Linked DNA regions of Stegostoma tigrinum. The protein of the gene in region 2 interacts with the protein of the main gene of each other region in a biochemical or structural test. Links are inferred from orthologs where the notes say so. Each region holds a gene or a part of one and is shown on either strand. Other genes may lie near its edges.

The links. The genes of interacting proteins can lie anywhere in the genome.
Region 1: the proteins of rb1 (region 2) and ccna1 form a complex in vitro, tested with the Homo sapiens proteins (2 studies listed by BioGRID, with this or other methods). The link is inferred for Stegostoma tigrinum from reciprocal best matches to the Homo sapiens genes RB1 and CCNA1.

What each region holds. Positions count from the first base shown.
Region 1 is NC_081359.1:85,062,685-85,066,433, reverse strand, and holds the start of ccna1 (cyclin-A1), read right to left. Parts: upstream 2,354-3,749; 5' UTR 2,181-2,353; coding exon 2,016-2,180; intron 1,808-2,015; coding exon 1,549-1,807; intron 1,314-1,548; coding exon 1,186-1,313; intron 714-1,185; coding exon 490-713; intron 328-489; coding exon 123-327; intron 1-122. UniProt on the Homo sapiens protein: May be involved in the control of the cell cycle at the G1/S (start) and G2/M (mitosis) transitions. May primarily function in the control of the germline meiotic cell cycle and additionally in the control of mitotic cell cycle in some somatic cells.
Region 2 is NC_081365.1:72,796,968-72,800,716, forward strand, and holds the start of rb1 (retinoblastoma-associated protein), read right to left. Parts: upstream 2,904-3,749; 5' UTR 2,761-2,903; coding exon 2,696-2,760; intron 1-2,695. UniProt on the Homo sapiens protein: Tumor suppressor that is a key regulator of the G1/S transition of the cell cycle. The hypophosphorylated form binds transcription regulators of the E2F family, preventing transcription of E2F-responsive genes.

The DNA.
Region 1 (3,749 bases), on a different chromosome or scaffold from region 2:
ACTGATTTACCCAAATAAATTGGGCTCTTAAGTCTTCCAAATCTCAGAATTTGAGTAGAATTCCTACCTGTAGAAGGCCAGGAGTTGGACTGGAATTTTACCCAGGCAAAAAAGATACATACCATCGCCAGGTTTCCCATTTGTCCATCGATCCCTTCCTCTTTCAAAAACTGCGTTAGGAACTGGTTAACTGTTGGGACAGTCATGTCAAAGCTCAACACCTTGAGTAGGAGATGCTCCATGCGCAGGAGTTGTTTTTTTGTGTAAGTGTCATCTGTTATGTAGACAAACTCATCTATTTCCGGGGGATAGATTTCTTCGTATTTCCTAGGGGGGAAGTGTACAAATTGATCGTTCGAGATTAAGTTTGTATTAAAATTGCCGAGATTACGCAATCTGCGCATTCCTCCAGCCACGATTGTTTTAAGTTTGCGCTCAGATAGCGACTTGACAAGTTTCCCACGCTAGAATTAAAAAAGAAAGACTTACGATGCTACCAGCATAGCTGCTGTGCCCACCAGTTGCAGCTTTCCCCTCAGGACTGACATACACGACAGGAATCTGTCCAGGTAGTTTATTGCTAAGTACAGTGTCTCAGTTTGTAGGTTGTACTCCTCACCAACTTCAACTAGCCAATCCACCAGAATTGAGCGCATACTGTGCGTTATATCTGGTTGCTTCTTCATATACCCAAATTTCGGTCTGCATTTCTCCTGAAAAATAAACACTTTCAACGATTAACGCCAAGTTGGGCGGATGAGAAAAGCCGAATTGCTAGAGTGACAAGTCCTGGTGCAGAATTAAAAATTCATCCCACAGGGAATGAACTGGGAGCCTACGAATTTGAAGGGCGGAGACTACGAGTCTAAGTCTGCTCTGAAATCCAGACAAACACTGCTTAGTGCTACTAGATTATTTCCTGTAGTCCAACTGCAGCGGAGTTGGACGCCTGGAGATTAAGAGTGAGTGAAACAAAAGCAGTTTCATAAGCGATACAGACTTTCTCGTAGTTAAATCTTGTTTCGAAGTAGATTTCGCAGCAGGCGAGTTTTGAATGCCCAAGTGGAAAAAACTCAGGACAACTAGCACTATGACCAAAGCCAGCGGAGAACCGCGAAGGACATACAGTCAGCCGAAAATGTTGTTATTTCAATAAACATTAAAGCGCATGCTGCTGAGACTCACTTCTGCCTCTCGGAGATACCGATAAATGTCTTCTGCATAGCCTTCCACGGCGAGGTAATTTACGTGTAGATGCGAATCTTCATGTGAACGCTGCGAGCGCATTGATGAATCTACTATCATAGGCGAGACTGTACAGACGACATAAACATTGAACGGCCAATGAAGGTTTGGGAACAGAATGCTTCGAACACGTGTACAAAGTAGAACTAGGGCTATGTACTCGAATGGTAAAGTTTTGAACCCAATCGTGTTAGTAGCGAAAATAAAACGGATGCAGTAACGTAATCTATATTTTAGAAGGCAACGCGATTAAAAAAAGCTCAAATCGAGCGATAACAAATTTAGCTCGCGTCTCGCAATTACCTTCACTCAGATCCAAGAGCAGACAGTAGTCGTCTGCTGGTTTGGAGATGTTGCCAACTTCTCCAAGTTTAGATTCCAGTTCAGAGGTCAAGTTACATTCAGAGACTTCGACCTCATCTTGGACTTCATCCTCCATGTAAATGGAGAAGTTCGGGTTGGACACAAAAGTAGCCGGATATTCCGAGAGGGTGCTGCAGCCTTTCGAAGTGAACCCATTGTCAGTCCCCACTGCAATGGTGCTGCAAGCTTTCGCTGAAACCTAATGAAACGCATTAGGTGTTGAGGGGGGGGGGGGGGGGGGGGTGCGGAGAAAAGGGAAATTCAAGGTCAGATAGTTTGCAAAACGGCCGAAATCGCCCAAGAGCTCCAAACGATAGATTTAAATAGCAGAGCTCCGAACATTCCGGGGGGGGGGGGGGGGGGGAGAATGGAAGCCCCAGGAATAGCGGATTTACTGAAGAGGTTACCTGAGAAAGTGAACGTCTCTGCTGGTCATTCTCATTTAGCACCCCTAAAACGGTCCTTTGCTTTTGGCTAACTGGGCCCATCTGCGGGACAAGATGTTGATTTTCTTGATTAGCATTGCGCTTGACAGCAGCGGAATTACTCCTGTACATGGTGGCTACATACATAAATTAAACAGCACCAACAAAAAAATTAGCTCGCACAATTTTTTTTTTCCGCCGTTCAGCTCTAAGCAATACCCTCTCAGATCACACTTATGAGTGTGTAAGAGCTTGCCTGAAGCCAGCCTATATAGCGGAGTGACTCTAATTAGTCTCCGGGCGAAAAGCAGCTCCCTCCACTCCCATCGTGTAGCAAATTACTTTCAAGCAGCCCGCGTCTATTAAATCGCACCAATCACCTTCCGTTATTGGCGCACGTGAGCTTCGTCTCCCCGGTGCCATGGTAACGCAGCACGCTCCCGGCTGCCACCTGACTTCCGTATGTTCTGCGGCTGCGTGTTACCAAGGCGACAAAGAAGTAGCATCTTTGGGAAAGAATTGAGCGCTCGACATTCTGTACCCCGCAGGATGCGGCACGAAAACTGGGGAGACTTTCTCCGAAGGCCTTTGTTTTTCAAAATATAAGATCCGAAACCCTTTTCCTGCCGTATCTATCCAATCCTTAAGGCGCTTCCACGGGAACCGTTGTAAATGTCTTTTTCCGGCTTCACCCATTTTCCACGAGTTTCTGGGTGGGATCGGAGGTAGAAAACAATATGCAAAAGATGGACGACAACTTTTTCCACATAATCTTGTGGCGCAAAATGCTTGGTGCTGGTTTTGATCATGGACTGAATGGTGGGGGTTGCATTTATAGGCCCAAAGTGGTATAGTACGACTTCAAGTATGAATCGCATAGGATTAGTTTTTAGCGAGGAAGTTGGTTATTGTAAGCGTTAGAAGCGTGCAGAGTCGGCAGATCTTAGTGCCAGACCCGGGAGTCCAATGCTTCATGCAATCGGCTGTCATAAATACAGATAGCTGAATAAGCAGAGATAATGGGAACTGCAGATGCTGGAGAATTCCAAGATAATAAAATGTGACCCTTAGGGTCTAGGCCCGAAACGTCAGCTTTTGTGCTCCTGAGATGCTGCTTGGCCTGCTGTGTTCATCCAGCCTCACATTTTATTAGCTGAATAAGCATTCGGCAACAGGAAGACCAACTACCACAACCACCCCAACCCCCACCAAATTAGTGCTATTAACAGATAATTTAACAATTTCTGAAGAACGGTCTAGGCCCGAAACGTCAACTTTCCTGCTCCTCTGATGCTGCTTGGCCTTCTGTGTTCATCCAGCTCTACACCTTATTATCTAATAATTAAAGTGTTTGTTTTGACTCTTGCCGTGGATCGTTCCCCAGGTATTACAACCCAAGCCTAAAGTCAAAATCAACAAGGTAAAATTAAATATAAAATAAGGTGACTATTGGAAGCTGGGAGTTCTACTACATATATCACAATTAAAATGAACTTAAATACAATGTCAAACTATGTGGGTTAACATTACAATTAAAACATTGTTAATCAACATCAGCATCCATCACCAATTCTAAATCATGTGAGAATAAATTCTGGAAAATTGGACAGATTGGGGTTGTTTTTCTTGGAAGTGAAGACCATAAGATACAGGAGCAGAATTTGGCCATACGGCCCATAGAGTCTGCTCCACCAATAGATCGTAGCTGACATGTTT
Region 2 (3,749 bases):
AAGACAAAAAGAGTTTTTACTACTTTTTAAAAAATTAGTAACAGGTTTTTCATAAGGGTAATATGATTCACGTGGTCCATATGGACTTTCAAAAAGTGTGCACCAGCAAAACTGAAGCATGTGAATAAAAAGGACAGTGCCAGCATGATTTTAAAGTTGGTTCAGTGACAGGAAACCGTGCAATGGTTATGAAGTTGATACGAACAGAAAATGCTATAAACACTCAGCAGGTCAGGCAGCATCTAGAATTAAAAAGAGAGTTAACGTAAGGTTGATGACCTTTCATCAGTGCCTTTCTGGAAGTTCTATATAGTGGAACAAAAGACTCACCCTTACAGCGTCCAATCTGAGAGAAAGATAAAGCCAGCTGCAGAAATAAGCAAATGCAGCATATTTCAAGCAACAGCTTTTGGGCAAAGTAGAAAGGAATAATGGGTTTCTAAGAATAGAACTGGAAGCGCTCTCTCTCTCGCCCTTCCCGTGGTTTCTACCAGCCTTTTGGAAGACATTGTCTGTGAACTGCAAATTGCAGAAGCAGCCATTAACCAAGAAGTCAAAGATATCTACAAATTTTGCTGCTGCTGAGCATTCAAGGCATCAATTAAACAACCATGGTCCCAGATTAAAATTTCTCTTTGGACCTTCAAACGATACATCATTTTCTTGGATAACAAGGTGTAGAGCTGGATGAACACAGCAGGCCAAGCAGCATCACAGGAGCAGGAGAGCTGACATTTTGGGCCTAGACCCTTCTTCAGAAATGGGGGAGGGGAAGGGGGCTGTGCAATAAATAGGGAGAGAGGAGGAGGTGGCTAGAAGATGGATACAGGAGAACATAGGTGGAGAGGAGACCGACAGGTCAAAGAGGTGGGGATGGAGCCTGTAAAGGGGAGCATAGGTAGGGAGGAGATAGGTCAGACCAAGGAGCACGGACAGACAGGTCAGGGGGTGGCGGGATAAAGTTATGAGGTAGGAGATGGGGGTGGGGCTTGAGGTGGGAGGAGGGGATATGTGGGAGGAAAGACAGGTTAGGGAGGTGGGTACAAGTTGGGCTGGTTTTGAGATGTGGTATGGGGAAGGGAGATTTTGGAGCTTGTGAAGTCCATATTGATACCATTGGGCTGCAGGGTTCCCAAGCAGAATATGAGTTGCTGTTCCTGCAACTTTCAGATAGCATCGTTGTGACACTGCAGGAGGCCCAGGGTGGACATGTCATCTATGGAATGGGACAGGGAGTTGAAAATGGTTCATGACTGGGAGGTGCAGTTGCTTAGTGTGAACCGAGCATAGGTGTGCTGCAAAGCGGTCCCCAAGCCTCCGCGTGGTTTCTTCAAAATCTCTCCGCCGTCCTCCCCACGCTCCACCACCACCACCACATCTCAAAACCAGCCTGTCCTTCCTCCCACCTCAAGCCCCACCTCCATCTCCTCCCAACTAACATACACTTTTACTGGCACCATCCCCACCTCTTTGACTGGTCTGTCTCCTCTCCACCTATCTTCTCCTCTATACATTTTCTATCTACCTCCCCTTCTCTTCCTATTTATTTCAGAACCCTCTTCCCACCACCCCCCACCCAATTTCTGAAGAGGGGTCTAGGCCCGAAACATCAACCTTCCTGCTCCTATGATGCTGCATGGCCTGCTATGTTCATCCCGCTCTACACCTGGTTATCTCAGATTCTCCAGCATCTGTAGTTCCTACTATCTGAAACATTATTTTCTTGTCTGTACTTGGCACTTGTCCCCTTTTAAAATGTAAAATCTGTAAGAATACAATGTGTTTTATTGATTTTTCGTCAGACTTAGCAAGTTGCAAAATTCCTTTTTCTTTCACTCACTCAAGAAAACCTTGGAATTAGCTCCTTAATGCTGAACTACCAAACTATGTTTTAAGTGTGAAAGAGTAGTGTGCTAAAACAGAAAGGGAGCCAGTTCAGCCTTTCTCACCTCGTCAACATTTTATCACACTGCTGTTGAAGGGAGTTGCCTGTGAGGAATTGACTGTCAGAAACCCTTCACTATCTTACGGTTCAAAAGAAATTCATCAGGGTATTGCGCTGTCGAGAAAGGCTCTGTATAAATCGAAGTCCTCTTTCCCCTAAAGTAAATTGTGAATTAAAAGGCTGTTGCCAAGGAATGATGCATTATACTATATTCCAGCTACTACCGATTACCCTATATTTGAAGGGTCGTCTGCTAGCTTCTCTGGGTAATGACTATCGTCAAAAACACTACATGTGATAAATACGGTGTTTTGGAAGATTACCCTAATGCTACCTACGGAGGATTATGCCCTTTTTTAACTGCCACAACAGTAGAAATTGGACATTTAGCACAGAGTCGGTCTCACAGAATTAGCACTGAGTCAGCAGTGGGGTTCTGCACCAGGTTACTGCGGTGCTGCGATCCGACTTAAAAGTTCCCGGGGATTTTGCACAATGAAGGAAAAGGCTAGTAGCCAGGTAAAGGGCCACAAAACTGAAGCACAGGGCAACGACAAGTGCAGCGAAAAAGAGAGACAGAAAGATGTCGCGTGGGGGCGGGGATTAGCTGCTCTCGAGAGCCACTTTACAGGTAACCACCCAAGTATTCCCCACACCTCTTGCACCCTCCCAGTGCCCAGGCCGCGGCTGGCTGAGGTGGGAGCTCGGCCGACGAAAGCAACAGCTGCTGCCCTGTTACCCCGTCCTTACCTGGCCGGAGAGATGCTCTCCTCGGAGCCACCAGCGGCCGTTCTCCTCAGCGACTTGGGGGGCATGATGTGTGGACAATGGTGGGTGGGGCTCGGCGGCGGCAACCGTTCAGCTCGCGCTCGAGGCCACCGCTTTCGAATGTTTAAAAGGGTGCAAGATTCTAAACCGAATAGACGCCACCACAGCCCAGAGACCGCGCCAAACTCACGCCGCTTCCGACTTGTGCGTCACTTCCTTAGCAGCGCCGCCAGCCCAGCCACAATGAGTCTGATTCTGGCAGCGGTGAGTCACGTCTTCGCTACATCCATAGTAAACGGTCTAGCTCCGTTATACTTCCAAATGCTCACCGTTCTAATCCCCAGGCGATGGCGTTTACTCCGTTCGACAAAGACGATTTGGAAAAAGGAAACGAAAGAATACGGATGCTGTAAATCAGGAACAAAAAAAACAGAAGTTTCTGGAAAAGTTCAGCAGGTCTTGGAGTTGAAAAAGATATTCAGATGATTTTGAGAATTCTCGAGGCTGAGCGGTTTGAAACGGTCAACCCTTTGTTAGGAAGCAGAGGTCGAACCCCTCTTATTTAAAATCGAAACACAAGCCTGCAAATCTGTTAAGGCAGGAGTCGAGGTTCCTTTCGAATAATTAAACTGGAAACATTCCGAGAAGCTCGCCTCACCTCACCTAAAAGGGAGTAAACTTAGAGAAGGGGCAGCTAAATGAAAGAAAAACCATGATATTTGTTTTATAAGTAATAATTTATTTACTTAACCCTAACAGTGAACAAACTAACAGAATTACAACCAAACTGCACAATTCCCCTTCACTACTATTCCCTAACTGAACTGAATTCTACTGCTATGCTGTTCCAAAAATCACAAGTCCCACTTATATAAACCCAAGTAATAAGAAAATAATTTAAAATTTACTCTGTCAAAGTCTAAGTATCTTTCTTCTGTCGTTCTCCAGTCGTAAATGTCTTTCTTCCGCTGATCTGGCTGTCAGGGATGTTTTTCTGTGAGAGCTCTTAGTTGGAAATGCTGTAGTACCTTTTTTA